4 linked regions of the Drosophila melanogaster genome follow. The protein of the gene in region 4 interacts with the protein of the main gene of each other region in a pairwise test. Each region holds a gene or a part of one and is shown on either strand. Other genes may lie near its edges. The genes, in order: Tsp74F, dmGlut, CG31600 and CG15083.

Region 1 (8,997 bases), on a different chromosome or scaffold from region 4:
GGTGCGAGGAGCTCGTTTGTTGTTGGCTAGCCCCGTAGATCGGGTATACGATACCCTCGTGCACAGTATGGCCCTTAGCGAAGGACCTTTTGAGATCTTCCCCACCCTGCACGATTGTGTGGAATATGCCAATGCCTGTCGAACAGCGTGAGAGGGTGTTCCTGCTCCAGACACCCCAGTTAACTGGGGCAGAGAGCCAAACCACGTTTTGTGATATGTCCAAGTGATAGCTTGTGAATCGTAGCATCAAAACCCCTTCCTAGTTGCTAAAATCTATTTTAAACTGAATAGAAACAATGTCGCCGTCTACAATCAAGCAGAATAGGCTAAGTTTGTTTAAGTGCCTCCAAAATATTGATTTTTGTACTTAAAGCATACACAGCCCACCAGTCAGGCAACCGAAGAACTTCAATCGATCAATGAAGTGCATTGATTTAGTGCAATTTGTACCAAAATGAACAATTCAAACACACACAATTAGTCCATAAGGTTGATATGTATGGAGATGTATAAACTGTACATAAACATTTCAATGAATTTGTTGCATTTATTCTAATGTGGATTTTAAGCGGGTCGGATTCGAACTTCTAGCACATTTATGAAGCCTACCTTTAGGGTTTCTCAACAAAAGCATTATCGAATGTATTTCATTTTCGAACAAAGTGCTGCATACAAAGTTAGCTAAGGCTGGGTACCGGAAACCCTATACCGTGCATTGGATGGTTCAATTCCTTCTTAGAAAAGAATTTAGAACAGGAACGATGTTTTACAACATTTTTCAAAATTTAAAGGTGCCGCCACAAAATATTTAAAAACAAATTAAATATGTAGATAATTTTAAAAGTGTCATGTAGCCATAATAAATATTGAACATAAAGGAATAGGATTAAAATATAATATGCATTTATAGTTACTACATGTTCTCTAAAACTATTAATTTGTGTGCGGATAGGAAGTTAACAGAGTAATAACAAAAGGAAAATCGCATTCCGTGATGTTCTATCTGAAGAGTCTCATGTAAATATTCAGAAATTAATTAAATTGAAAAACGAAAACATTCTCAGAACTTTCGTCAAACCGTTTTCTGGACAAGACACATAATATACATACGTTGAAATGATTCATATTCATATCATTTATGTACTTAGGATTCATAAGATTGCCATATTGGTTGGAAATGCCTGACCTGATCGGTAGACATTATATTCAGCATTTGGATGACACATCGCCACGTACAATCACTGGAGCTGACACCGACCAATTAGCGGGCACATGACTAAACTCAGATGTATATTTTGGCTATTTGTTTGCCGAATATCTGTGTGTTTTCGTGGGAGGAGGTGGAACATGCTCTAAGCGGTGGCCAAAAGGGAATACAATTGTTCCAACTGATTAGCCATTTAATGACTTTGGCCCGAGGCCACAGAATGCACTTGGAGTTTGTTTGGACTTGTGTAGAGCTTGGGAAAAACTACATGACTTGAGTTGGTCAAGATCTGGGATTCAGTTGCGTTTTGCGGTTGTCCACCAAAATAAATGCCAGCCCTCAAGTTCGAATTTCGGAAGGTCACTTTGCGTGAAAATGTTGTTTATTTATATATAGAATTTTGTGTAAAAAAGTTCCTTTATACTCCTCTAAGCTAAAGTAAATTCTATATAATTAACTATTGATAACCTTTCAACTTTCGCAATGCATTATTCACGAGCACTACACATTCCCATAGATTCATTAATTTATTAATGCAATATGCAAATTTTTGATTGATTGAGATAGCTTTTATACGAAGATCAGTAAGTGGCGAAGGCGTAAGTAGAGTTATAGCAGCTATGATAAGTCATGTGAGAATCAAAAATGTTGCATTTGTTGTTTTTTCAATGTTTCACTTTAGTTTGCATCTGATAATGTATGATGCATGTTGCTGTGTTAACTCGGTTGTATGCGCAGTTCGGTTAACATTTTAATTATATCTTCCACTACCAGTAGTCATTTGCTTGCCTTCCCAATTTTTGACTCATTCCAATCAGTTAAAGTGCCACAATTTAACGCTTCTGACGCTTGTCACCTTCGCCGAGCTCAACGAGGCTTTCAACTCGCTCACACTAATCGGATCTCAGTAAGTATAGGTTCATAGGCGAAATTGACTGGCTTAAAATTAAGAATTCCCCATAATATTAATGATTCTTGGCCACTTGAGCAAGAATAACTGAGCACTAGTCGCAAACTTCGATTTCTGAGCAATATTTTATCATGAGGCGCCTGTGGGACGAGTGTGTGGAAATGGATTTTATGGCATCTATAAAACGCAAAAGGTTCCCACAGCGAGTTTATAAGATGCAAAATCAACAGGCAGAGTAATTGTTTTTCTTTTTTTTATGATTTATTTTTATTTTCGCCATGCAACTAACACATTGGTCGGTGATTACGGGGACATGGCGGGTGGTTGTTGTTAACACGGCCATAAAAGTGCTAAACAAGCCAACAATTTGAGCGCTTTTCAACCGTGCTGTGGAGTGTAAGTAGGGAGGGTGAGCTATTCGTCTATCGGCAGCCAACTTTCTGACCTTAGCTTGGAAACTGCTTAAAAAATTACTCAACTCAGCCAAAACTATTTGTTCGACTAACAAGAAAATTAAGCTGTTAATTGCCAAAGGTTGTCCTTCGGCACAGCAATTGAGTTCGACCAGCAAAAGTAACATGAAACACGGATAATAAGCATATTTTCCTTGTGCTCTCTTGGAACACTAAGCCCTTGAAATCAAGAAAGAAAGATAGCCTCGCCAATGTTTGATTTCTTTTCTAATATTTTCAATTAAATTTCGATATTTATACATACATGATACAGAAGACAAATTCACATACTACGAGCAATAAAAAGAAGATTTTTAGAAAAGTTCCAAGCTTTAAAACTATGATTCTAGAATGCGTAAGAAAGGAACGGACTGACAAACTTGGCTTTATCAAGTTGTCTGATCAACACTCGTATATTGAATATAAATATGGTTGCAAATAGATGCAAATGATCCAACTGAAGAAAGAAAACAATCATTACAAATAATCCTTGTTCAAAAAGTATTTAAACTTAAACTGTTATAACAAAACGGTAACCAATTCGGATAGATTTGCCTCCAAAATCAATTATGCGGACATTGCCATGTGCAGACCGAGAACTAAAACAAATATCAAATTTCGTTTGCTTATCAATATTTATATTTTGCAATTGCCCGAAATGAAACAAAGGTGCTGGCTGTGGACGACGGATCATATTTTGTTTGCTCAACGCATTTTCACATGCCGACTCCGCAAAGGGAAGTGTGGGTAAAAGAAGCCGAAAAATAGATGAATAAATAAGAGAGAAGCACGAAAACATTCAGAGAAGTATTTGCGGTTTGTAAGCGAGTAGAGACTCCCATCTCTCTCGCACCTGCAGTGCTAAGCCTTCGAAAACAGGGGCTCAAGTCGAAGTTGTTGTAATGTCGAGAGACCGAGACCAGAAAAAGCCCAACAACGAAGCTCTTTGTGAGCGAAACTAATAAAAAACCGATCGCCCCGACTGTTCCCACAACCAGTTCCAAGCGAGCTCTCGGGCGGTAGAGTCGTCCCTGTCCCACATATAAAACCATAGTATCATAGCTCCCCGGATCCACTCAATCCCTGTAAGGCGAGACTTAGGTCCATCAAGTGAATCGTATAGTTTTATCCCCACGAAATATCCCGACAGTACAGTGATAACTCCGCTAAGGATAATGCTGCCTTGGCAAGCGTGACGTAACTTGAAAAGCAAATGTTAAAAGCAAGGCGGCAAAAAAAAAGTTGTTTGCCATGGGAGAACTGCAATTGACAATAACAGCAACAGCAATCGAATAAAAACTCAATAACAATTATCAACTGCGAGTGACGCTTAAAACAAATGCAAGAAACCTGTATTAAAAAAGTTTCATAAAAATTCGAGAGCAAATATTAACGAATATTGCATAAATTGCTATATGCGTATGTAAACTTTGCGATCTCTTTTGATCTGAATGAAGTGATCTGAATGAAGAATGAACCAAAAATTTAAACAAGTTAATAAAATCGACCGAAAAAATGAATGAATGCGTCTTCATCAAAAAGTTGTTTATAAATAAAAGTGAAATTAAAAACTCTTCTACTTCTTACCACAAAAATGTTAATTGAAAGGGTTAAAATAATTTCCTTCTTTTTTTATAGCCACTCCCAAAGTTTCTGTGCATTCAAGTGCAACTAAAAATAGTAGCCGTTTCTTTTGTTTTGCTTTGTGTTTTTGCAAAACAACAAATTGAAGGCAATTTACATACACAAAGCTGAGAAAGAAAACCGCCAAAATTGGTTACCTAACGAAAACTTCGTTTGTGCTACGGGACGGCAAACTTGTAAGTGAATTTGCTTATTAGATAATATTTCATTTGTTTTAATTAATCATAAATTTCATACAGAGGTCCTTCAAATGCGACCACTTTCCTATTTTCACTGCTATATTTTCAAGCTTCGAGTATAAACAAGGAGTACATATTTCATATTTATAGCCTCGACCGATTCTGCTCACTAACTTTTAAGCTAACATCACCTACAAATAAAGATTACATACGAGTTTTAAACATAAATGACCTAGTAAAGCTATTATTCCTATGATTACAGATAGATAACAGGGTATGAAAGGAGCATAAAAGAGTGAGCTCAGAGTTTAGTAGATAGTACTTAAAAAGTCTGATTTTCTAAGTTTTTCATGAGTGACAGGACTTGGAATCCGAGCTTTAAGTGATCTATTACCATGTGTAGCACGTACAGCTGAACAATTACCATAAACTTAATTGGTCTCAGCTTACAAGCGGCAGATATAGTGATTCGCCCCGCCGCCAACGCCCCGTCATCATTAATGGCGACTTTCGGATGACTTACTGTCATCTCAGGCACGATTCGGATTCGCTTAACATGATAACGTCGAATGAAATATAGTGAATATTCAGATAGTGTGAGAACATTTTTTTAATAGCCCCGCCAATTACCTGGCGAACTCGACTGCGGCTTAACATATTTGAATTTGGAGAATAATGCTCGAAATGAGATGTCGTTTACCAGCTAGTGGGGTGAAGGGGTACCCGACTGCTCAGCCTGCAATTACTTTTAATTAGCATTTAGAACATCGCACTGCGCCAAGATGATTCAGAGCTGGGACGGCACTCGTAGTTAAACCACTACAATTAGCTGACAAATTTTCGGGCAGGCTATTACTTTGATTTATTTGTTTTGATCGCTCCAACTTCAACGGGGGGAATTCGTCTCGGAATCGCCGCGCAGCGAACCCTTCAAGTGGGCCTAATGCGATGTAAGTAACCAAAAAAAAAAAAAAAAACGCGAGTCTTTAGAGCCGTAACTGACAAAATCCACAAGACGTTGGCAGCCACCGCCGATAATGAACGCTTGTCTAGGCACATAGCGTTGGCAGCTTCGCTGCTCAGTCGCAGTTCCATAAAGTGGGTCATGGTTAAGTGTACTTCGGTCGCTTCGCGGTTCGGACCCGGCTTAGAAAGAGCGAAACGTTCGGCCGAAACCACAGCTGCGCATGCGCATGCGCATGCGCACCACTCGCCAAGCCGAACACCATTGATAGGCAGCCCATATGTTGGAGTGAATCTTACGCGAAAGAAACTCGTTAAAAAGTACATTCTTGAGATTACATCACATTGCAATAGAGAGTAGGCCAAAAATAGCTAATTTGAAATCGGGATGATGAGTTATGATTAACTTGGTTATCGCTAAGGACCTGTTGAAATTGAATGATCTCTAAGAACTTTAACTTAATTAAAGCATAGTGTGAAATTATTTTTATCTGTCTTTGGATTATAGAGTTGTATCGCCATCAAGAACCTCTGCATCTCATCCTACCCCAAATTCCCTGCATAATTCTCCTCGCATCAATATCCTCTGGGGGCTCTTCACCTGTAGACAAAAGTAAACAATGTGAAATCTTTTTATCCCATTGAATTGGTTAATTGAAATGTATTATCCTTTCAAAGGAAGACGATATGGGCTTCAGTTCGCGAATGGACTGCTGCGGGCAGTTCGTCAAGTACAGTCTTTTCATAGCCAACTTTGTGATATTCGTGAGTATCCAGGAGTCGCTTGAATTAAAAAACAATTTAAGAGAAATAAATAATACCAAAATATATGTATTTTCCAGGTGGGTGGAGCGATTGTGTTTTGTCTCACCCTGTGGACTCTGGTGGATCGGAGTTTCGTCAATGAGTTGCTCGGTACAAATCTTTTCTCGGGTGCTGTCTACGTCCTGCTGGTTACATCGATTATCATTTGTCTGGTGTCCTTTTTGGGTTGTGTTGGTGCCGGAAAAGAAGTCAAATGCCTCCTCCTAACAGTAAGTAAACAACAAACAATAAAAACAAAAATTTCATTTTATTAAATAATTAACTTTGTCCTTTTTGGAGTAATCATATCTGGATTTGCATATTTACAAAGATACCATCTAAAGAAATGATCTATTTGATTTAATCTTCTAAATGTTGTCAGTCTCTTCTTTACTATTATGCAAACACCATTTAGCTAAAAAATTAACCACTCGTTTTCCCTTTGCAGTATTTCATAATAGTGGCCCTAGTTTTCGTGACCATGCTAATTGGCGGTGTCTTGGGTTACGTGTTCCGCGAACGAGTTCAGCAGACCATGCGGCAGGTGAGGCAAATCCATCGATAACAACACGTGGGTGGCACATTAACCCTTACCAATATCCCATAGGAAATGCGTTCCACGATGGCACTATACGGAAGCAGGAGGGAGATCACCCAGGCCTGGGATTTGACCCAGGAGCGACTACAGTGCTGCGGAGTGGATACGTGGCACGACTGGAATAGGTACGGACCAGTGCCTGAGTCCTGTTGCCAGGAGCTTTTCGGTGGACAGCGTAAGGAGTGCACAATCTTCCCGACCATTACGAATCTGTACAACCAGGGATGCCTCTATGTGACGACCAACTTCATCAGGGATCACGCGGCGGTTATTGGAGGTACATCCATAGCGGTGGCCATACTGATGGTAAGTGAACGCCTTTCTTCGGTAGCAAAATTATTATATAATATATAATTAATTGGAATTTGGTTTATTTTTAGATCTTTGGCATGATATTCTCCTGTCTACTATTCAATATGATCGAATAGCGCCAACGAGGAGGGGAATCCCATGGTCACGCAGGAAAATCAGATACCAAGGTCCACAGTCCAGAAGAAACACATTTTTAAACATAATTCGCTGGAGTTAAATTAAGAGTATTATCTGAGTGTATGCTAATGTTAGATCTGCACAGATCAACTGTCCGCTTGTATTATGTATTGTATTGTATGTATATACGTGTTTAGATACGCATAACTAGTGAGTATTGAACTTAGTAGGGATTCTATTGTTATTATCTGTTGCATAAATTTGTATTATTTGTGTGAAGTTTTGTAAATTTCCTCTTAAGCCACCGTTATCAACAACCCATTACAATTGCTAGTTTTAAGTGAGCTTTTCAATACTTAATAGAGAATTTAGATGTCTGTCCATTGTTGTTTTCAATAAAAATTAGTTAAAACCAAATACTTCGGAAATGTTTATATATATTAATATTTTTTATTTTTAATCCAATTATCATTAAACGATATGTTGTGATATGAGTATAAAAAAAAAACGAAAAAGGATAAATATTTAAAATGATCTGGTCCATGAAATATGTCCATGTTACGTAAAAATTTGTATTTAAAAAACGGTTTAAAGTATTAAACTGTTTTTGATCGAAGCTTTAATCTACATGCAATATTGTTGCATATTTTTAGGTTTTTTTTGTCTTAAGTCACATTTTTGAAGCGGGAAAATAGGGAAAGTATGGATCACGCTGTGACCTGAAGGTGTTTACAAAGTGAATTATCATCAGATAATATAACAACTTTTATGTTATTTAACTGAAAATAAGTTCGCACTCAAGCGACTTTAAAGATTTGAATAAAAAAGTATTTTCTTTAATTAACTTTTATTAAAAATTATTCTACTAAGAACTTACAGCTACAACAGATTTCTGTATACTAAGCCTATAATACTACCCATCGCAAGCCATAAATTGATGGAGAAGGTGCCGGAACCTGATTGCGTATCCGTATTATTCCACCACTCCCAGTTTCCGTTGTGGAAAGTCGGGTTAGCTCTTGAATCAGAATGCGGAACTCGGGCGCTGGGAATCGCAGTCTTCCGAATTTGTTCCAACTCATCGGCAAGTTGCTGCAGTTGGAGTGGATACATTTGGGCTAGGTTGTATCGCTCGCAGGGATCTTTGGCCAGATCGAAAAAGCAGGGAGCCTTCAGTGGTTCACATTTGAAATGAGATTCCAGAGGATTTTGTCCTTCAATAGGGGGACACGTTTCGGTGGCTTCACTGCGCATCTGTCGGATGCGATCCTTAGTTAATCCCCGATTTCCTAGTAGGCTTTGAACATCCGATGCCAAGACATGTTGTTCGTAGCTCTCACCCAGGGGATCGTCTTCGTTAGTTTCCAGTTCACCCAACCACTGATCGTATCGTCCTTTAAAGCTGCTCCCGTTTACATACTTAAGAGTATCCCTCATGTACGATGAGTAACCGAAAACCTCATCGAGTACATGAATCATTGTTCTTGGTTTCGGTTCCTCGTTGCCACTCAGCATAGGCCACAAATTAATCCCATCCAACGGAAGATCCTGCGGCAAGGATACGCCGGCAGCTCCTGCCAGTGTGGGCAGCCAGTCTACGGCATGTATCGCCTGGTTGGACACATATCCTCGCTCCTTAAGCAGCGGACTCCACAGTGCACCAGCCGATCGAATGCCACCCTCCCACGGCGATTCCTTTTGCTGAATGTAAAATAAGGTGAATAAATATTCTAGTTTCATTGCTTTTATGATATTCCTGGATTACTTACTCCTCGATAGGGATAGTTAGAACCCGCATTGGAATGGATGCC
Region 2 (10,440 bases), on a different chromosome or scaffold from region 4:
GTTTCAAGTGGATCGGATGCGATGTGCGTGCGGCTAATTGATGGGGTGCACATCAATTGAAGTTTGTCACTTTTCATTTGGGCCCAAGACGCGGAATATTTCCAGTCCAAGTCGCTGTCAGCAGATTGGAATTCTCTGCCAACTCCGGTTATCTGCGCCCAGATGTCACCTGGATGATCTCGTGTCTGGTCTGGACAAAGTGTGCCATCGATAAGGCCGACAAAGTTTAACTGATAAACATGGTCTACATACATACATACTTACATACTCTTTGGGCTTCAAATGGAGAGCACTCGGCAAAGGATTATATTTCCGGCGATAGTGATTGAGATAATGCATGTGCCAAATCTTAACGGACGCACAATAATCCCCGCCATAAGTACGATTCATTGAGACACCAATTGAGCACTTTCCAAGTAAAACCGAAACAGATCGCATAACATTCCACGAATAATACGTTTAAGTATCCCCTTGAAATGTATATACATATATCGGCAGATATGAATATAAGCAAAGTACAGAATGTATATTAATAACCCAGCTGAGCTGCATTGAACCGCATCTGTAACTGGTTAACTCGGCAGTCAATTTTTGAGTATGCAGATACAGATGTATCCACATTTAGTAGTAGTATAGCAACGTTTCGATTCTTAATTCGATCTGAAATCGAAACTGAGGCTGTAATGAATACTGAATGAACGTACAATAGAAGTGTCAGGGGCGATTTGAGGTGGTTCACCCTATAGCGACTATAAACGATAGCGATTCCCCATTCTCGCGACCCCCAGCCATCCACCGCCCATCTCCCACCGCCCACCACCCTGTTTTTCAGTTAATTGCATTGCATAAAGTCGCAACCCGCCTCTAACCGGTAAACGCTGCTGACTAACTAACTAACCAACTAACACAGCCGATACTACAACTAAACTAATTCTGATGATGGAGCCGCAACAAGTTGTCGCTCTCCGTCGAATACCCTACAACGCAGACTGTCGGGCAGCTTGGCTGCTGCAGTGCGTCTTGAAGATGGAACTTGTTGCTATCGCCACTCGCGCGGACATCAATGTCCCATTTGATACATGATGTATAGTATATATGGCTCGGTCGGCTGGTTGGATGGGTGGTGAACAAAGAAATGTGTTGGTGCTCTGACATACTTATGGGATTTAAAGTACATATATATATAGGCATATAGTTTTATATCCAGACGAGATGTGTATAAAAAAATGTAAATGTTCTTGAAATTGTATTTTTAAAAAAGTGTGCGCAAACTTAGAATAGTTTATTGCCGCACGCTTTATTGTGGTCCTATTGTTTTGACAAACCTTAATCGCGGTTGTATCTTGTTATAAGTATTATTTATCAATAGGATAAAGTTAGTAATACTAACTTGTTACAGTTGCAACAAAAATATATCTATATTAAGATAACAGATCCTAACTTGCATTATTTTTATATATAAAGCATATATATGTAATTTGTACCAAAGGTAGGGTATACTTGGAGGGAAAATTCTTGGTAAGCAGCCAGTTGACCATGATTTCATCGGAGAAATGGGCTGTAGACGCACAATTCGTTGGGTGCAGCTACCTTTCTGTCTGGGCCATTCTGTTGGCCAAAGTTTCGGTTTCGTGCATTCCGGTTCTGCGAGTTCTAAACCGAAGCTTGGCATCTGTATACATATACGTAGCAAGGTAGCAAGGTGGGTTTTTTTTTCGTTTTTTTCATTTAGCGATCCAATCGTTTATAGAGCGACATAAAGTGAGCGCGTGCATGCGAGGAAAACCGCTGAGGTATTCGGCGCACAATCGATTGCCCGCTGATACCAACTGAAATCGAAATCGGGCTTCAAATGGCCAAATGAACCAAAGTTCCATTCCGCGCGGCCAATAGTTAATAGTGGTGCGCACTAATAGTTGTTGCATTTGGTCAATTGATCTACTACACGCATGCGGTGGCCCGATGGCTGATTGAATGCGATTGGATCGCCGATCGACCCGGCCAAGATAGCGACCGCGTTTATGAGGTGCTACAATGCGTGCACAGAGAGAAAAGCAGTCAACTTACCAACACTTGAATATTTTCAAAAAGCAAATTCAATCATAGTTAAGGGTTCTTAGAGGTGTGGGTACTGTGGTTTGGAAGATAGCTTTTTTTTAACACAGATTAGATTAATAATTGAAGTTTAATTATAGCAAGTAGTTTTAGCGTAAATGGTGGTGAGCAAAATTGATAGGAAATAAGCAGATTCAAATATTAATCCATTCAGTTAATTGTATTTTGAGCTTAATTGTATTTGGAGCATGGTTGGAATAGTGCACTATAGAGATTCAGTTGTATTTTTGTTAAGTTACCGTTGTATAACAAAATAATAGTTAATTAAATAAATAAAATTTAATTAAAAATTTGGTATATGTCTAACACGTATTGTGAGAGTGGTTAATATTTCGTTGTACCAAGTACCATTGAGCAATAAACAAACTAAATATTGTATTGCTGCACGTATTTTCTCGCAGTGCTCAATTGTGGCAGCATGTACAGCAAGTGTTACGAGTCAACTCCCCTTGTCAATATAGCGATACACGATCGTTGGCCGGCATCCAATAAAAACAACAACAATAACGAAAAGCGAAAAATGAAAATAAAATCAAATAATATGAAAAAAAAAACTCCCTCTGCCGCAGAGACGCCGACTGCGCAGCAGCAGCAGCAGAGCGGCGCTTATCTGCTCTCATATAAATATAAACTAAAGTCGGCGGGAATAATTTCTCATTTGTAATTTGGCTGGCGGCGTGCGCGGTTCGGTTTGGAATTCGAGTTCGAATTCGGTTAGCACTTCGAATCCGATTTGGAGACAAGTTCGAGATCACTGGCCTAACAGTAATCATCCACATTCTCCTTCTCCGCTGCATCTGCGCTTTCCGAATAGAATATTATTGCAAAACGAAAACAGAGACTGCTGTGTAGCCGAAATAGCGGTAAAAAGCGTAGAGTCGTGTGCGCGTTAGTTCATATTAAGGATCCGCCGTTGTCCTTCAAACCCGTGTAACCGTGGCGAAGGAACTGACCAGCTTGTTGACGCAGCCGCCGCCAATTAGTACCGAGATGACGCAACAGCCACAATGGGGCATAAGCCTATCGAGGTGTAAGTGTGCCACATCCTTCGATCCATGGGATATCACAAACACAACCATCAACCACTATCACCACCAACATCATCATATCGTCATCATCATCATCATGAAATGGCCATAAGGAAGTGCTGCGTGCGCCGGTGTATTCTGAATGCGGATTGTGCGGATCGTTGAACCTGCGATCGTTCGGGGGGCATTTTCGAGTGGTAGTGCTCGCTTAAAGTTAACCGACATTGACCGACAGCAATATAAAACAAAAAAATAAAATAAAAAGGAAGAAGAAGAAGAAGAAACGTATATAAAATCCCATATGTATTGTGCATAAATGAAAACAATGACAAAACGCCTCTGCCACTTCCGATTTGTTTCGAATTGTGTGCATTTTGTTTGTGTTTCGCTGCTTGGTGGTCTCTTCAAATTGAAATTCCCGGCATGCGTTCACATAATTGGTAAATATTTTGCATACGATTTGCATGTGAATTGCTGCTTAACTGGCCAGCGATAAAGAACAGGGTATCATATGTTCGATTCTAAAACACCACGATCGAAGGGCTAACGGTTATTACGGACTTTGTCAACCAATTATGGGACCTGCCCAAATATATACCTATACCTATACCGATTTCCTCGCCCCATCTCGCTCTGTTCTTTTTTGGGCAAGGTCAATGCAATAAAGAATTCTTTCGACCGATTGGGCAACCATTTCAGCTGTAAGAGTTTTACGAAAATAAAATATTAAATATACTTGGAATGCGAGTGATAAAAATCACGTAAGCCTATTATGATTTTCGTATCATTTTAGACTAAACTAAACCCCAACCAGAGTAATTATAAAAACTAATTAGCTTTTGAGCTGTACTAGTTCTAGCTAACTAGCTCTGTTATATAGCTTAGTATTCTGCTTGTTTTTCCAATGAATTATATGTTGTGCTTTAAATTTCAACCAACAAAGGCTTTTTGCCACAAGTTCTAGCCCAATGAACTAACAAAATTTACAATTTGGCCATAAATCACCCTATTGGACATTAGTTTTGAGCTACGGCAATCAGCACGACTAATCGCCTCGTTTATGGCCCCCGTCCCAGTTACTCAAAGTCTCATTATCATATGGAAGGGTCTGGCCTGGGTGTACTATCTGGTGTATATGTTCTTATGCGGCAATCGGACCTCGCTGACAGCGACCCTCTGCCCCCCAGGCCCATTGACATAATTTTCGCAAGACCGCGGAAATGCAAGCGAAAGAAATGAGGTTTATATTCATTCGGGGCTATCTCTTAGACATTCACGATTGCCGGACAAAGAGACGCAGGCCCAGTAATGTCAACGGATGGAATTGTTTTCGTTTTCTCATTAACGCAACGGATACGAACGACAATCGTTATTACTTAAAAAACCAAAAGTCATCTTCATCATAAGAAATTAACCATTAAGTAAGATTTAAGGAAGTAGAAATTTGAAATTAACTAAGATTTAGGGGAATTAGTTTTATGAGATGTTTTTTTTAAATTGTTATCAACATATTTAATATTGAAAATACCCACACTTAGCTTTATTTTAGGTATATTCTATATATAGTATCTGTGCAAATCGATTTCAACAAAAACTCCCATAATTGAAACTAGTTCAATTGCATTGTCTGGCTAATTAGAAAGTATTTCAATTGAAATAGTAATGATGTATAGGTCGCAGATAATTTATTCGTGGGATTGTGAAACCTATTTAAATAGGTAAAAGGTACTTTAAATGTAATCAGTTTCTCAATAAGTACTCAATAGAAAGGGCCAACTTTACAAGTTCGTTGCATTTGCAAGAAAAGAATTTTACGGAAAAGGTGTGACCGATTAAATCTAGTTAAAAGTGAGTCTCACCCCCGCCGCCTCCCACTCAGCTTTCATTTTCCACTCATATGCGCGAGATAAGGTCGCGTTAGCAAGCTCTGATTAAATCTTGAATAGCTTATCGCGGGTGGAGGTCCTTAGATGGAGTACGGTCATATATTAACGCCACCGATTGGATTGGATGGTCTGAAATTATTGGCATACTTGGCGGGCGGCGATATGATTAGCACCCATTTACATATACGGCGGCTTATCAACTTATCACTTGGCAATCATATTTTTTATTTCTTTATTTTATTTTTTTATTTGACACTCGTGGAGTGAGCGCGTATAAATGTTCGTGTCGAATTTGGTTAAGTAACCTGTCAAATATTGGCACATTGTTAATTTTGCCAGCTACGGTGGCTTAATGCAATTTGCGGCCAGCAAAAGATATATTGATGTTAATTTATAGGTAAAATAAACTTGTCAGCTGGTGACGTCGATGGGCTTTTTTTGCGAAACAGTTTCTCATAAACTAGGGGAGTTTCGAATGCCATTAAGAAGGCAAACACATGATTGTTTAACTTTTACTGGCGGCTGGCTTAAAAAAAAAACAAAACAAAACATATAAATATCTGACGTAGGTGGAGTCGTCGTGGTTAGGTGTCAACAAAAACAACAGAAGTCGTCGACTGCGGCGGGGGTGATCTAATAATATTGTCATGAATTGGATTCTGATTGTGTGTTTACCCAAGAAGCCAGGCTACTATTTGTTTTTTTACTCGCAATCCAGAGATTCAGATTGAAGTGATCTGCGTGCCGTTCTTGTTAGATCGTTTATTTCAATACGTTTGAAATGAGATTGGTCAATGTTAACTAAGCGTGCCAAAGAACATGATCAATTCAACCTTCGACATTCATAGGCGGCCATCTATTTTCGAGGCCCTATGAATTTATGCCCAAAATTACTTAATTGGCGCCGCCATTGGTTTATGATCATTGTTCTCGGTTAGCGATTTCGCATACTTCACATTGCACTCCAAATGTTTATCGCAGATCTAGCACACTCCGCCTTATCGGGCCGTAATTCCGCTTAACAATTTGATTGCGATACGATGGTCGTATAAACTACGTCCGTTGATCGCTGCCTGGTGATTGGTGATTGATATTGGGACACGAGTGCATAGCGCCGCTAATCTTTCGACCATGCTGCTCAACCCAAACTTAAGCACGAGCCATAAACCTCACGAGACAGGAAGTTCGTGAAAGAGCGGGTCTACAAAACTGGACAAATTCCTCAAATACCTTTGAATAACTAAATAAAAAATAAAATAACTTATAATGGCAGTCCATAAATAAGAGCATATAAATTATCTACTCTTGCGATCCCCCGCATATCAGCACATGATTTATTAAATATTTAATCAAACTAAGCACTTTATTGCCGCAAATTTATTTATTGAGTTTGATTGGAACAAGATTATTTGGTTGTTTTATGGCAGATCACTAGAAGATACTTTTGCAATCTGAGTTATGTAGGTTATATACCCTTGCTTACCTTTAAGATATTACATTTGATCATCTTTAAATCCATTCTAATGATTCATGGCTAGAGAAAGGGAGAAAATAGGGCTACAAATCGGAACAGGCCTAATATATTCTTTAATCTTTAAATGATCATATCGCCATGTCGCAGTTGTCTACGCATAATTTCTTTATCATTAAAATTATAAACTGGTTTCAAACTAAACGATCTGTCGTGAGCATTAAAAATTATATGTTGTTGTCATCATGATTATTTTAAGCGTTCATTAAATATCTGCGTGGCATATAATTTGTTTAAGCATTAAAACTTAAAATGTTCTGAAAGTGTTCTAGACAATCTCTATTACCTAGTTTGCAGCGTTTTTTTATATTATACTTAATTTACTACTCTTTTTTCAATCATTCGTATTGAAAAATGACTAAAATCGGCTTCAACAGTTCAGCTAATTGATATAGTGCCACAGCAATCAAGTGCAATTTGAAGTTTATCAGCGCAAATTGATTTGTACCCAATTGAGTCACCCGTCAAACTATTTATTCGCACGCTAACCGAATTAAATAAGTAAATTGCTTAAACAATATATATGTGAGACGCAAATCCGCTTGGCTCGTAAAATGTTTGACGCAGTGTTTGGTCAAATGTTGCCCAGCAGGTTAATTAATGTACACCAAGACACCCACTGACGTCAATTCCGATCGCTATCTTCTCGTCCATAGATTTCGTGATACCCCAGCGAGTGATCCTGGCCATCATGGGCTTCTTGGCCATCCTGAATGCCTACACGATGCGCGTCTGTCTATCACAGGCCATCACGGTGCTGGTGGTCAAGAAGAACTCAACGGATGACGATTCTGAGGCGATCTGCGAACCCGATGACATCGACGAGGGAACCAGTGTAAGTAGAGTCTAAGAGTAATATCAGAAGATAATACTTTAAACACAAAATCTTTCCAGGTTGGTGGCGATTTCGAATGGTCCGAGGAGCTGCAAGGTTTGATCCTGTCCTCATTCTACATCGGTTACATTGTCACCCACATTCCCGGCGGTCTGCTGGCCGAGAAGTTCGGTGGCAAATGGACCCTGGGCCTTGGCATTCTGTCCACCGCCGTGTTCACCATGCTAACGCCTTTGGCCATTAACAAGGGTGACTCCGACTGGCTGATTGTGACCCGAGTTCTGATGGGTCTGGGCGAGGGAACCACCTTCCCCGCTTTGAGTGTCCTCCTAGCTGCTTGGGTTCCGGCCAACGAACGTGGAAAGCTCGGTGCTCTGGTGCTGGGTGGCGGTCAAGTGGGTACTATCATGGGCAACCTGTTGTCTGGCGTGTTTATAGACGCCTATGGTTGGGAGTTTGTCTTCTACTTCTTCGGGGGTCTGGGTGTTGTCTGGTTTGCCATCTTTGTAAGTATAGGCTGAGCACTTAGCACATAGTCAAGACTCGTTATAATCCAAACTATTCTTGCTCGTAGATGTTCCTCTGCTACAGCGATCCCACGTCGCATCCCTTCATCAAGCCCAGCGAGCGCGAGTATCTGGTCAAGGAGATTGGAACCATTAGCCGCAACGAGGACCTGCCCCCCACTCCCTGGAAGGCCATCCTCACCAACCTGCCCATGTTTGCCCTGGTGGCCGCCCAGATTGGTCACGATTGGGGCTTCTACATCATGGTGACGGATCTGCCGAAGTACATGGCCGACGTTCTTCAGTTCTCGATCAAGGCCAACGGTCTTTACTCCTCGCTGCCCTACGTCATGATGTGGATCGTTTCCGTGGGCAGTGGCTTTGTGGCCGATTGGATGATCCGCCGTGGCGTGTTGAGCACCACAAACACCCGAAAGGTGATGACTGGTCTGGCTGCCTTCGGTCCGGCCATCTTCATGGTGGGCGCCTCCTACGCCGGCTGCGATCGTGTCCTCGTCGTGGTGCTCTTCACCATCTGCATGGGTCTGATGGGCGCCTACTATGCGGGCATGAAGCTGAGTCCCCTGGACATGAGTCCGAACTATGCCGGAACGCTCATGGCCATCACAAACGGAATTGGAGCAATCACCGGAGTGATCACGCCGTACCTGGTGGGCGTGATGACACCAAATGTGAGTATCATAAAGGTGATGTTTTGAAACTTTAGCTAATCTGGTTGTTCTCCTTTTACAGGCCTCGCTGCTGGAGTGGCGTCTTGTGTTCTGGGTGGCCTTTGGCGTGCTCTGCTTCACTGCCGTGATCTACTGCATTTGGGCATCCGGAGAGGTGCAGCCGTTCAATAACGCACCCATCCAGCCGCGCTCCGTCGACTTTGAGGCACAGGAGCGCAAGGTGGGTGGTGAAAAGACAAGTGGTCTGGAGCAGAGCTCGTAAGGTGGATCGCCAAAAAAAAGTGCCATACATATATGTATACATTGTAATCTAGTTAAAGTGCTGTCTACGCGGATTCTGGAATCCGTAATCTGGGATCCGAGTGGTTCCCAAAAGCAGTGTCATGCTGTATACGCAGTGGCTGTTGTTCAAATTGCTAGTTTTATAGTATTCCCGATCTGGCCGATCCCTGGCATCAGCGCCAACTAATTAATTTAAGCGAATTTACTTACACTCCCGAACGTCCGCAGTGCTACCATGTTTATCCCTTTTGTTAGCTAGGATAATCCTTAGCCTAATCCTAATCCTAAACTATACCCCTATGCCGCGCACGCAACGTACTCTCTTAATTATTATTTAGTATTTAAACAAACTGCGATTTCGCATTAAGGATTTCGTGTACCAGAGCTCGTATTGCCGTATTGTAAATCAAATGATGAAATAATTTGTACATTTTAAATTGTTGATCAATGTGTAAAGTAAAGCGTGTTTTTAGCTGTTCTGTTAAGACATTACTGTTTTTATGATGTTAGTCAAATAAAGTGTATAAAGCTAATTAAAACTATAAATCTAAAATCCAGTTTGTAAAAATGTATTCATGATATACTCATATAATAGGTATTAAATAGTCTAAAGGGGCATCTTCTAGTAGGCGTTCTGCGATTTGTCCAACTTCTATAAAACAAAGTTACCAAAATGCTGCCCGCTGTTGAGCAAAAGTTGAGCGATATATTTATATGTATGTATATGTATGCATAATTCAGCGATTTTACGTGGCATCCACTACAACCAGATGGTTACCCGTTCCATTCCACAGATCTGGAGGTGCGACAGCGCTGGGTTCTCTGCTGCTTCACATTTTTGGCGATCATTAATGCCTACACAATGCGTTTGTGCTTGGACTGTACGCTTAACCGAATCATATTGGAATGTGGTGGTCATAGGGTGGACAACGTTCCTCAAGTACTAAATCCAAAGGCACTGCCCAACTGGCGTATTGAACTGGCCATGGCACTGAATCACACGGAATATCAACTGAGAAGCCGCCTAAAAGCGGGAAAGGAGCAACCAGATCTCAACCAGATAAGCGCCAAAGGAACGCGGGATAGAGAACCTGCCGGTGAGAAACGTCCTGGTCAAGAGGACTCTCAAGAACGTTTGAGCTGCTCCGAGCAGTGGCCTCGCCAAACCCAATCCCTTGTAGTAATGGCCTTCTATGCCGGCTATGTGCTCAGTCATGTTCCGGGCGGACGGCTGGCGGAGAGGTATGGTGGAAAGTGGGTGCTCAGTGCGGCCATACTCACGTCAGCGGTGCTGACCCTGCTAACTCCCACTGCAGTGCGACAGGGCGGTCTGTATGCCCTTGTCGCTGTCCGTCTATTGGTCGGAATTTGTGAGGGCCCTTGCTTTCCGGCCGTGTGTGCACTCCTGGCCCAGTGGGTTCCGGAACAAGAGCGCGGAATGCTGGCCAGCTGCGTACTCAGTGGCGGTGAGATCGGCATCACGATGGTCCAGTTGGTCAGCGGGTTGCTTATTGCGGAGCAGGATTGGCCCGTGTTCTTCTATCTGGTTGGTGGAGGAGCCGTGG
Region 3 (6,060 bases), on a different chromosome or scaffold from region 4:
CCGCATCCTTGGCAAGGATGCTCACTCACAGACACATGTGCCTGAGAAAAGAGGGAGCTGTAAGTGCAAGGCAGTGGCTCTTGTTGTTGGGTTGTAAGTGACATTCGCAATTTTCAAAACTATTGAATGAGTGACAAGTTCTGCAGACACGATTGAAACTGACAGTTAACTCGAGACTCGGAAGGCAGTGACTTGCATTGAATATGGGTGTACTAGATGGGTCTTCAAATGTCTTAATGGGAAGCTCCAACGATCACTGAATATGGATCAAAGCTTGGGCTTTAATAAAGGCAACATATGCATTTCACCTACCAGCTACATTTTTCTTTGTATAAGTCTCAAACTTGATTTGTTGCCCCTTTAGGCTATTAAATATGTATATGTTAAATATGTTGATGTTAAATTTGTCACCTGATGCTCTGGGAATATTAGGGTATGTTAGATTCGCTGAATTGTATGGCGACAATCGACCATTTCGGGTTTTCACTGGATGGATTCACCAATAAAATGTCTATTTTAAAAGACTTTATTGGCCGTCGGACAGGTCCTGATGCAGCTGACAATAATGACGCTACCAACTCGATAAACTCGGTGACTCACTGGCCATTAACAATTTCATTTATTTTGTCACATCGGGCGAGTGAGTTGGGCTTGGTCTGTCGGGGACATTCGACCCAGTCTGTCTGTCAATGTCAACATCAATGTCACTGCGTCCTGGACCAGACATTTTGACAAATAATTCAAACCGCATTTTATAATGAATTTCCCAACGCCCTGGGAAGGATGAGCTGCCCAGAGGAGGGTGTGACTGCACCTGATAAGCCTTTCCCCCTTATTGGGCCAGATACATGCGGGAGATTTATGGGGAATAAATTCCAAGGCAGAAAAACACACAAAACTGATAATTACACTGACGAGCGGGCTTTATTTTTGGATTCAGACCTTAAGTGCCCAAAAGCGACGACTTGGCGTCACTCATACGCTCATCATACTCCCATAAAGAAAATGATTTTATGGGGCAGATGCTTGTGGTGACTCCGGAATGCTGTGCGATCGTAAATTTATTCGGTCATGCCCAGTATCAGATTGCCAAGTTGAATATAAGTATCGGCTGCAGAGCTAGAAAACATTCTTACAGTGTTCGGCACGAATAAACAAAACAATATTTAAGCGAAAAGATAACAGACCAACATTTTACCATTTCTCAATGTCCCAATAAAATTTAAAAAAATCGAATACACAGTTAGTCACGCTGTGTCGAATTAATTCGCAACCTATATACAAAAAACCTGCGTTCATTAAGACGCCCAAAAAGTCAATATCCGGAAGAAAAGAAATATTGTTATTACCGCTGACAGCTGCACTTACATTGTATATTGGCACGCATCATGAACGTTAATAACCATAAAAACACCCAAAATAACTTTAAATTTTGAATCTGCCAAGCACTTTTGCGAAATCGGATGAAAGGGGAAGTCGTGGAAGTCATTCCAATACTAAGCTTCCAAAAAGAAGATAGCTGCGTGCTCCTCCTTGTGATCCTCGATGTCTGGCAATATTTGTCCGCCAATGGGAAATACAATGGCTTTGAAATTGTCATAGATACGTAGGGTTTCGAAGTGAAAGCCGTTTTCAACTACCACGTAATTTTTCTGGGCCTTGTGTGGCTTTAAAATTGGCGACAAGTCAACGTTGGCGCAGTTTAGAAAAAAATAGGACGAGCTGAGGGCCGCCACGAGATCGTAGCATCCAGTTAGCGTTTCGTTCCAAATGGAGACGGATGCGAAGGCCAACGATTCGCACTGACTTATGGCAATGGCCTCCTGGTTATTGCGGAATGTGTGAAATGTTACTACTCCAGTTGGGTAACTTCCCAGCTTATCGTGCGTACAGTCACACACAAAAATGGGTGAAGCCATTGGTGGGGCAACCTCCGAAATGCAGGCCCTTATTATGTTAAAGTTGGAGGTGTGGCATTTCTCCAGTGCTGCCAGATAGCTAGGATGTTCGGCCACAAACTTACTAAGAGGATGTAGCTTAGACAGGATTCGCTCGACGATCTCCCCGCGAATTTTCTCTTCAACCAGAACCATGGCCACCGCATTCGAGGCAAAGGGATTATGAACCGACTCAATAATAAAGTGCAGTGCACTGTTGATGTCGCCTTCTTCAAATATAATCATCAATTGGGGAGATGAAGTGACATCGTGTCCTATATGCCGGTCAGCTTCCGATGTCATTTCGATGACACTGTGATCAGGTGATCTTCCCTCCGGGTTATGGACCATATCGTAGGTGACGACATGATCCAGTGACAAGGACTCATTGTGCTCCGACTGGGACGGATGCTCGGAATCAACTGAACGCGGAAAGTATTTAGTTGTATCGAACATGGCTTATCAAAAACTTCACTGTAATGTAAAAAATTTGTTTTTATATATTTTGAGATTTATTTGAATGGCAAACGCGATTGGATATGATTAAATGAAACATTTCTGACACATTTTCATATTTCAATTATTTTGTTATTTTTTTTAATCTACCAGGAATTCTAATATCACTTGAGTACTAAGTACTAAACCGCTCAATGCGGCGCACTCTGAGTCCTAACCATCGGCATTTATCAAAAGCAATATAGTTTTACTGGCCCCTTCCATCCATTGCCACATCGAGGGAATTCAAAAGAGCACCCATAACCCACGGTGCCCCTTATTTGTTAATCGCTTAATTTATGATCAAATGCGACAGTAAAATTAAAATATCACAAACAGATACAAAACACCAAAGTATTTAGCCATCGTCCAAATAGAATGCCAGAAATGCATTGGATTTGTTGAAATTAGCATTAATAATTATAAATATTTTGCCAAAATATTACAATTTTTATTGTGCATTTCGAACTACACCCTTTTTGACTTACAACAAAGAGCATACGATTATGAAATAACAGAACAGAGCCAACAGCGACAATTAAAATATTTAAAGCCACAGAAATATTTTTTCGCATGGCCCATTGGCGAACTGAAAACCCACAACAAAAAGTGCGTAGTAAATTTCCTAACGAGTTGAGGGACATCCATGTGGACATCAAGTGCAGCAACAATACAGCCATATACGGAATGATAATTTTGCTAACGATGACCATTTACATATATCAAGAGTAATTATAATAAAATGCCGAAAATAAAATTAAAATTAATATAGAAAGCCGATTATAAAATCATGTTTATACCTACAAACAGTTATCGCACACACTCTCATTCGTTGTAGCAAAAACAACTGTCAAAAATAGCAAATCCCATAAATCAACAATGAAATTTTGCCAGAAAAAAGGAATTGAAACACAAATAGAAAAACCTGCGTGATTTCGTATACATACATAATTGGGAAAACAAAAATTTGAATTTATGTGGTAGGCCATTATTTCCAGCTTCGAATATTTTGTCAATTTGCGTAGAATAAAATTGAGCTACGTATATTAAAATAATTCTCAAAATGGTAGAGGGCATGATAAAAAAGCTAACTGCTATTTTATTTGGGGTAAGTATTTAATCAGCAGCCCGTCTTCAAGTTTTTACTGACAACTTTTCTACACTTAGCTTGTATTGGCTGTGTTATTTCGAGTAATTATACCCTTTACTCTGCGACTTAAAAGCGCTGAAATAACCATTAATGTGCTTAACTGTTTTAATTTTCTAACAAGTACCGTTTCCATTACCATTTGCCTGAATTTGGTCAGCCTATACTTAGCCAATTTGCGTGATGATTGGCTTGTTCTCGGGGTAAGGACTTTACCAAAAAAAAAACGTGAGGTTGATAATTGTAAATTAGCTTATACCGCTGCAGATACTCGTCCTTCATTGGACTTACTTCACAATTTCAAAACAACTAGAAGCCATGAACAGGAGCTATAGTACATTCATGGATAGCTTAAACCTTAAATGGCTGGCATACTCCAATTTTAACGAGACAGATTGGCCTTCGATTGAAAATGCGGTATGTGTTATGCCTTTGCTCATTTGCCCTTTCAAGGGTTTTGCTTTTCACAGGTTTTATGCTGTGGACTGGAGGGTCCCCGTTCTTATATGGATTATCTACAAGGGGTTCCAACCCACTGCTACCATCCCGACCTTATCACCCAAGGTTGCAGTGACTTTGTTAAAAACATTTTTATGCCGATACAACATATAAGTCATTTGCAGCTCAGATTGGCTATTTTTGTGGAACTGGTAATTTTACTTATTCTTGCTGCAACGCTTTTGAAGAAATGTATTTCTTTGATCGGCGAAAGGAAACATAAAAGAGTTATTACACACGGGCTTGCGGTACTAATAGATTTAGTTAAAAACACATTTTGAAACATTAGCCTTATTAACCCTAACCAAATACTACTACTCTATACACTACCATGTAACCATTCTTGAGTACTAAATGCAGTTTCTTGTAATGTTTGTATTGTTTTAATCTATGCCACTGTATTGCATACAATATGTAGATGACAAATCGAAATGGAACAAAGAAATAAATTGAAATAAGCTGTCTTTTATTGCCGATGACAATTTGAATAAAATTAATATACAGTTTATCCTATTTTTAATTAATAAATGTCAAACATTTTGCGAGTATTGAGTATGAGTATTTAATTGTCTGATTTGTAATTTGGTTTTTTCCTGTTGTCTTTTTGTCATGGAAAATTGGTTTTGTTATAATTCGTTCGATGAGTACGAAAAAAGTTTCAAATGGCGAATGGAGTGGTAATAGGGTAGCGGAAACACACTTTGGTCTTGTGCAGCGGAAACGGAAGTGAGTATTAGAAGGCAAAATAAACTTTCGGAATGGAAAAACAATTCACATTAAGCAAAACGTACACATTTTTGACAATTCCATACCGTTATTATTGGTCTGAAAATGTACCGGTTTGCTTTTCCAAATTATAATTTATTGTCTTTTTTGGTTTAAAAATGTATATAGATAATATCAGGAAATCAATTGTGGAAAATGCATGAACGAAGGCGTGACCTAAGGTAGATGTATGAACAGTGCTTTCTATTAATTTAAAACAAATTGAATTTTCTTTATTATTTAATACCCCGCTAAAGAGATATTTTAAAAACAAGAGATAATGCTCGGATATACCGAGTTCCCCGACTGTGAGATACTAGTTACTCAGCTAGTGTGTATACGAACGCGAAAGTGCATCATTTTTCTGGGATATCGATAGATATTGGGAAATAAAATGACCGATTCGGAAATCGAAATATTGTTCAATATTAATAAGTGACTAATAAAAACGTGAAAAAATATAAACACATTTTTCAAAAGTTTGGGCGTGGCATTTTTATGCCGTTTCTGGGCGCTAGAGTGGGCGTGGCAACATGGGTCAACGATCTTGCGCTGCGTCTTTGTTTCTACAATCTTTATGCTGAATCTCGAACTTCTCGTTTTAATAGTTCCTGAGATCTCGACATTTATACGGACTGACGGACATGGCCAAATCGACTCGGCTATTGATCTTGATTAAAAATATATGTAGCTGTGTTCAGAAAAATAGCAGTGCGAAGGAAACTGAGTAATACAAAGGTATTCTTCCAAGTCCCTTTTCGGACTCGACTCTTTTTTACACGTACACTTATTACGCACTACACGGCTAGTTTTTCATGTTATCCTTTTTTTATTTACATTTTACATTACATTGAGCAAAATCACAAGTTTTAGACTGTTCATAAGAATAGCAGTGTCTGGTTTTGACCAACGTAAAGTCCCGAAATTATAAATATTTTCTAAAAAAAAGTGAGTTTGGTTAAGTTAATTCGCGTATTTAAAGGGGCAATAATTTAAAAAAAATTATTTTAGTGGGTAGAGGACAGCACTGCTCCCAGGAGAAAATAATGTTAATTTTTAAGCTAAGAAAGGAAGGAAAAACATACAAGGACATTCAAAAAACCCCTGAATATTCTGCCAAAATGGTATCCAATGCCATTAAATATGAATGGAAGCCGAAAACCGTGGTACCAAAGTCTATCCTTTTGCATCCCCTAGGGAGATAAAGTCTGAGCTGAG
Region 4 (6,466 bases):
GCCCCGCCGAAAACCAGTGAAACGGAAATGGATAACCAATTCGGAGATAGCTATCTCGACCCGTATCCTACGCTGTTCGGTCGCCAGTGGCACCTCCAGCATCGCAGCAAGCAGCTGCAGGTGCAGCACAAGTGGCAATCTCCGGTTCCTCCACTTGCGGAAGTCAAGGCTAAGAGGGATCCCGCCAACTGGCCACCCGACGACGAGGAGCCACCGCTTACGTACCCCTACGCCTACACCTTGCCCTGGAAACGAAAGGAGGTTCCGGACTCACTCCGATATATGCCCTCGATCAGTGCTGGTGAGTAATGGAGTATTGGATAGGATTTGGATTCTTTGATTTAATTTAAAGCGGATTTAATCCTTAACCAATGAACCCATTGCTAGTGACATTCGTTCTACATTCCAGGAGCCATGACCAATCTGGGCGGCTTTTTCAACCGCCTGGAAGCGAACCTGCGCTTCGCGGAGCAATCGCAACTGGGTGAGTCGGAGACGCGTATGCTGGAGGGTAAACACCCGCACCCACTGCACCTGCCGCCCGTGCCGCCCGACGCTCCGGAGGATTCCGAGCAGAAGCAGGAGCACGACCGGAAGACATCGAAGCTCCTGCAGGCCCTGCGCAGCTACAGGCCCTCCCAGAAGATCCGATCGCTGGTGTCGCGCAATCCGCAGGGATACCGCGGCTCCCAGTTCATTGATCCCAGCTACATGTGGCTGGGTCTGGGCAAATGACAGTGAGACCGCCGGAGCAGCAGAATGGCCCATCAATAGTTACCTAAGTAGCTGCAACGAATGCCGCCCCAAGATTCGATTTAATTTATGCCCTCTGTGTGTGTAGAAATATATGTTTGAAAGCCTATCACAGTGTGTTAAGTTTTAAGGAATGGTATGTATTAACATTTTCGAATTACAAACAAATAATAGTAGCATCTCCAAACATTACAACAAGAAGCGTAAACCAAGCCCCTAAATAATTTTCCATTTGATTATTTATATAAAAAATATATATTTTTTTTTTTGCAGCCAATCGAAAAATCTTGTATTGGCCATTTCGTTTGGATATACGTATAGACACAATCGCGTTAATGTAAATATATATGATGTACACACAGATTTTCATTCTCTGATGCATGAAATACAACGTAGTATATAATTTTGGTGCTACTAGCTAGAAAAATATTGGGTTTATCGGGGAAGCCCCATTGGAAACATTCGAAAAGGGATATGATGAAATAAGAGCTGGCCAAACGGGAAGCTACACTGGAGCTTAAATCTTGGTGTAGCTGGGATAGGAGTTGGTCTGCTGGGTCGGCTGTGGGATCAGCGGGCGCTGGATCTCACGGGATGCCTGGATCTGCTTGAAGAGCGAGTAGATGCCGTAGTAGAGATACCAGGTCAGCACTGAAAACGAGCGAATGGAGAAAAATAAGCATCGTGCCCAAGCGCAATTATAGAACGATCGCAGACCGTCGAGCGATAAGCGCAATGGGGATCCACAATTTCGCAACAACGGCCAGTGTGTATTGTGTATACCCATTTCCAGATAGAGCTTATGTATGTATGAAGTGGTGAGTCACTTACAGAGCAGGCCAACATCCACGAAAATGATTGGAAGAGCGCTCAGGAAAGATGTATTTCCGATGATCTGGGCCAGCATTGCAATATTGGTGATAATTCCAAAGACAAGCAGCACTCCATTGTTGATCAGCCAGGGCAGCAGGAGTAAATGGCGTTCCTGAAAGGCAAACGCTATTAGAACCATCTCTATCTCTAGTTAGTATGGTGTATGTACATATGTATTTGCAAAGAAACTTGCCGGTTTTTTTTACAGAATAGTGGGCTTTTAAAAAGGTCTAACTCTAGATATGTACTATAGTAGACACATATATACGCGATTGTACAGATTGCATATTGATACTAGACTTACCTTAACGGTACCTGCAACCAACATGGCCGAAGCCAGAAGATTAATCACCTTGAGCGCCAGGTAAACACTGAAAACGATGATTAGCACTGCAATAACCGCAAGAACAATGAAATACAATAAAAAATATACGATTGGTTGTGGGTGCACTCGATGGTTAGCCCTTACCACTGCGAATCTCGGTGGCCGTCTTGTTAGAATCTTCCGATCCCTTGGCGATCTGCTGCGCAATTTCATCGACGAATCCGAGGGCCAAGGACAAGAGGATCGTGGCCAAGAAGGATAGAATCACGCCCAGCCATCCAATGACCACACCATAGGTGTTCAGGCGCATACAGAAGACCCTGGACAGCATTCTGGATTCACTTGATTTCGTGCTAATGCGAAGATAAAGACAATTTTACTTCAGTTCGCCGGCGCAGCAAAATTGCAATTGCTTGATAAGTCGCAATTGGCTGACAATTAAAAGCTTTTGGGTACAGCGGCGTTGCCAGACTGGTTCAAGCAGTTGGTGTCGAAACTGTGACTTGTTCACCAGCTTTTAATGTGACTTTTTAACGCTAATTGTTTAAAATTCTTTTAATAACATTTTTATATTTTAAATATTTTTATGCATTTATTATTTGGCATGATAGTTAAAAAATATTTATTTATGTATTCATTAACACTGCACAGCAGCGGCTTACTTTCATAATATTTTTCAAGGTGCTAATAGTAGCTACATTACATATATAATACAGCATTAAATCTCTCTATTATTTTAAAGACAATTCCCCATTTTATTCATTTCACTCTTAAATGACGAAACATATGCAAACAAATTCATATAGTAAATGAGTGCACATATATTTTTTAAGAACATATCAGACGTAGTTTTTCCACGCTCGAAAAAAAAGTATTTTCGTGTTGCATAGTTTACGCAACCGTTTCTTCTGAGCGGCATCGGCATTTGCGCCACACTTATTATTTGATTCTTGCCCAGTGCGGTTGTGTTTCCGTGCGCTAGGTGTTCCCAAACCGGTTTAAGTGCCATACTAGCCATATTTGTATTTGGAAAATTCGCTGTAAACCACAGAGTTTCAAAATGAAAATCGATCTGACGGTGGAAAATGGCCCGTGCAATACCGATTTGCGGAGCTGGTGCCTGGGAATCGCGATCTATTGGCTATTGAGCATGACTTTCAACGTTATATTCGCTCCAAACGGTAGGAGAAATGCGAGAGGCGTGGCATTTGTTTATTTTCAGAAGCTGATTGCCCAGACTGACGCTATTTCCATAGAGAGACAATACATTCATGATGTTCACATGCGAAATAAACGAATGAGCTAATCCATTCGACACAAACGCGTTCCAATTCACAACCATTTTGGATACAACACCTCACCATCGATGACGACATCGCCGACAAATTCGAGCTGACAATTCATTTTAGGTGGCCCGAAATGCCATTTTCTCACAGGCTTGAATTTTCCAGCACAAAAAAGAAAATTAAATAATTTCCTTGGGCTGTGCATGGCGCAGAATTAAACTTAAAAGATTATTGGGTTTTAACAGTTGAACGCCATATGTCATAAAAACACTTAAAGCCCTGCATTTGTCCATGTCTCAAAGAAGTTCTATAAACCTTATTCTAAGCTGTTTTAAAAAGTTTGTCATATTTCATGTATGAAATGTGTTTAAAATATAAAAGAAGAATTTATGTTTTAGTTCTTTATGTATATGTACACATGTACATGAAGTGCATCAGTGCATCAATATGTACTCATTATATACGAAGATACATTTAGCAGTCGTGTTCTCAAATTTCAGACGGGAAGAAAGATAAGAGCACAGCAACGTTTTGCTTGGAATACATTGAGTCACTTATAAGCCCAAGTTTATGTTTACTTTCCACTAATTGTAACGGCTTTTTTTATGAATGAAATATGTACGTTCAATAATTTCTATTTAAATTCACTTGAATCCTTGCAGTTCTTACCTTTATTGGATTTGCCATCGTAGTAGTCGCCAATATTTGCTTATTGATAGGAACCCTGAAGGTAAATAAAATACAACCCATTCCGTTTTATTGAGTCAACGAAACCCAATCTACCTTTCCGAATTGCAGGAAAAGCCAATTCTGGTGTTCGTCTGGCTGATCTTCGCTGCCATTGAAGCCATCTCCTTTCCGTTTGCCGTCTTCGGGGTTATCTTCCACTACGGAGGATATCGCGAGGCTACCGGAATGAACAACGTTTTCGGTGCCCTGCTCGTTTACATCATCACATTTCGTAAGTATCGGCTATGAACATCAAATTGAGTTAACAAAAATGTACAGATCATACATATTCTCCGCTACACTTTCAGTATTGATCCTCTTCAGCGCACGAATTGTGTACTCCTTCTACCTCCAGCTGAAAAACAGCGAAGCCAGCAAACAAACACCGCGCGCCATGAATGTGGTTTAGTCCTTATCATTCTACACTACATAAATTGTCGGGGAAGAGCCCACCGTTCGTTCATCTCAGTGTTTGCAATAAAATGCTTTGTTTTTTATTTGATTGCAGTTTGTCGTTAACGCACATCTCTTACTCACATCGACTTGGGATCAACTATCAACAGTTAAATACATTGGTTACATACATATACATACAGGGTGCTATTGGCTATTGGGCTACCGCGTTCTTAAACATTCAACATTTAAAACGATCGATCACACTACGGACAATTATATACTCTCGACACAGTTCTCTATCTATATAGCTAGCTATCATACTCGGCATCGTCTTCTGCTCCAATCTGCTTACTTAGACATAAAATGGAAAGTTGGTCATCTTATTGTTGCTGCTGTTATTGATGTTTTGCGACTGCGTAAAGCTCGTCTCGGCATTTTGGGTAGTTAGCTTAGCCTGCACGGCCGCCAGTATTCGCACAGCCTGGCCAGTACTGCCCGACTCCATGGCAGACTCCATACCTAGGTTCAGGTTCAGCTTGAGCTCGAAGTGTGACCCACTCGCTTGGATCTGCGACTGCGTCTGCCGTTGGGCAACAGCCGGTTTTCATCTCGGCGTGGTTATGCTGGGCAGCTTTTCCAGAAAATCATTGGCCAATACCTCTTCGATCTCCTTCAAGCAATTGGCCACATCGTTCTCCGTATCGGCAAAGTTACGCGGCTGGGGGCAACTGATGCCCAGCGTGGTGAAAAAAGCGTACAGCTCCTGCAGCGACTGCAGTTGCTGGAAGTGCAACATCAGGTGTCTATTGCTGGGGCGTTGCAGTATCTGGAACAAAGCCAAAGGGACTAGTTAGCCAGATGACGCATACGATGAGAGTGGGAATTACTCACCGGTGACTGACTGGTGTACTTCATGTCCATTAGCCTGGCCACACGTCTGACATGCGGAACATACAGCGCACTGGGCAAGGTAGCCAGGTTCTCTAGACTTCCGTTGGGCAGGCACACCTCCTCCTCGTGAACATCGAACTCGGTGCCCACAAAGGCCCATCGATACATCTGGAAATGTGGCAGTTTGGTTGCGGGCAGCACACATCCCAATTCAAGCAGCTTGCAGGCCTCCAATTGCACAGATCGCCAGTGCTGCATCGGTGTTTGGGAATTGTAACCATTGCTAGCTCCAGAAGCAGCGGACCAGGACACGTCAATCCCAGAAGGCAGGCGCAGTTGTTGGCTGCCAATAATGATACTATTAGTTTGACTACTTTTTTTCATTCGTGTTCGACTTACTTCCTCTCTTCGCTCTCCGATTTGAGCTCTTGTTCCATTTGTAGAAACACCTGTACCATTTCCGCTATGATTATGGGCCACAGCGAGGTGACGTGGTCGGGTGACATGCGAAGAAGCAGCACACGGAAGCACAGGAAAACGGCCGCTTGCACGGAAGGACCCATGGGAACCAGCCGCAGACTGTTGGCCAATTGTTCTAAGGGAATTGAAAATGTTAGTGCTGATGTTAGTTAATTCCCCAAAGAGATGGTACTAAGCTATAAATAGTAATTATATTTTTACATACTAAAAGGGTAAAGTTTGTTATTAATTGCTTAGCATCTAACAAAGGAGGAACATTTCGTTAACTTACCCTGGATGTCTGGCATGTACTTGTTGTGCTGGTCAAACTCGCTGCAATAGATAACAAAGGCGAGTCGCTTGAGCAACATGGCCCGCTGCTCATACTCCTGATCCCGGGAGGTGAATATGTTCAGACTGCCCGCCTGCGAGAGGGAGACGCGGGTCATCAGCTCTCGGAACGTGGTGTTGTCGTAGGTCATCAGGCTATCCATGATCATGCGCCAGAAGGGCAGGCACGAGAGATGCATCTGGAAGAAGGCGTTGTCCAGCAGTAGATCCAGCATATCCTTTCGCCAAGCCTTCCTGGTGTACTGGTAGCCACTTAAGCTAGCCAACAGGGCAGAGCAGGCGTAGAAAAAGGGAACATTCCGAGCAGTGTGGTTCTTCAAATACGGAGTAATATTGTACAGCAGCGGCGTCACTATGTTCACCACCTTGTCCTTCTCCTGGGAACCATAGGCCACGTCCAGTA

Evidence for each region.
Region 1: the proteins of CG15083 (region 4) and Tsp74F interact in a two-hybrid assay, tested with the Drosophila melanogaster proteins (one large-scale study listed by BioGRID).
Region 2: the proteins of CG15083 (region 4) and dmGlut interact in a two-hybrid assay, tested with the Drosophila melanogaster proteins (one large-scale study listed by BioGRID).
Region 3: the proteins of CG15083 (region 4) and CG31600 interact in a two-hybrid assay, tested with the Drosophila melanogaster proteins (one large-scale study listed by BioGRID).

Annotation. Positions count from the first base shown.
Region 1 is NT_037436.4:17,890,423-17,899,419, reverse strand, and holds Tsp74F (tetraspanin 74F), read left to right. Parts: upstream 1-3,557; 5' UTR 3,558-3,654; intron 3,655-4,207; 5' UTR 4,208-4,389; intron 4,390-5,863; exon of another isoform or gene 5,864-5,968; intron 5,969-6,033; 5' UTR 6,034-6,042; coding exon 6,043-6,120; intron 6,121-6,197; coding exon 6,198-6,389; intron 6,390-6,607; coding exon 6,608-6,703; intron 6,704-6,766; coding exon 6,767-7,063; intron 7,064-7,137; coding exon 7,138-7,185; 3' UTR 7,186-7,600; downstream 7,601-8,997. Other genes in the region: prestin, read left to right, coding at 1-151; CG7402 (uncharacterized protein), read right to left, coding at 8,066-8,887, 8,956-8,997.
Region 2 is NT_033779.5:12,024,677-12,035,116, forward strand, and holds dmGlut (dietary and metabolic glutamate transporter), read left to right. Parts: upstream 1-2,761; 5' UTR 2,762-3,105; coding exon 3,106-3,145; intron 3,146-7,216; coding exon 7,217-7,395; intron 7,396-7,454; coding exon 7,455-7,901; intron 7,902-7,969; coding exon 7,970-8,593; intron 8,594-8,654; coding exon 8,655-8,855; 3' UTR 8,856-9,446; downstream 9,447-10,440. Other genes in the region: CG18788 (uncharacterized protein), read left to right, coding at 9,549-9,591, 9,670-10,440.
Region 3 is NT_033779.5:21,912,738-21,918,797, reverse strand, and holds CG31600 (uncharacterized protein), read left to right. Parts: upstream 1-3,439; 5' UTR 3,440-3,495; coding exon 3,496-3,540; intron 3,541-3,599; coding exon 3,600-3,782; intron 3,783-3,831; coding exon 3,832-3,996; intron 3,997-4,049; coding exon 4,050-4,358; 3' UTR 4,359-4,529; downstream 4,530-6,060. Other genes in the region: CG11634 (uncharacterized protein), read right to left, coding at 1,497-2,393.
Region 4 is NT_033778.4:18,832,381-18,838,846, forward strand, and holds CG15083 (uncharacterized protein), read left to right. Parts: upstream 1-2,882; 5' UTR 2,883-3,011; coding exon 3,012-3,132; intron 3,133-3,899; coding exon 3,900-3,967; intron 3,968-4,035; coding exon 4,036-4,198; intron 4,199-4,274; coding exon 4,275-4,375; 3' UTR 4,376-4,462; downstream 4,463-6,466. Other genes in the region: CG15082 (uncharacterized protein), read left to right, coding at 1-301, 410-735; CG15098 (uncharacterized protein), read right to left, coding at 1,271-1,404, 1,585-1,738, 1,931-2,016, 2,096-2,282; CG15099 (uncharacterized protein), read right to left, coding at 4,967-5,188, 5,254-5,596, 5,653-5,848, 6,005-6,466.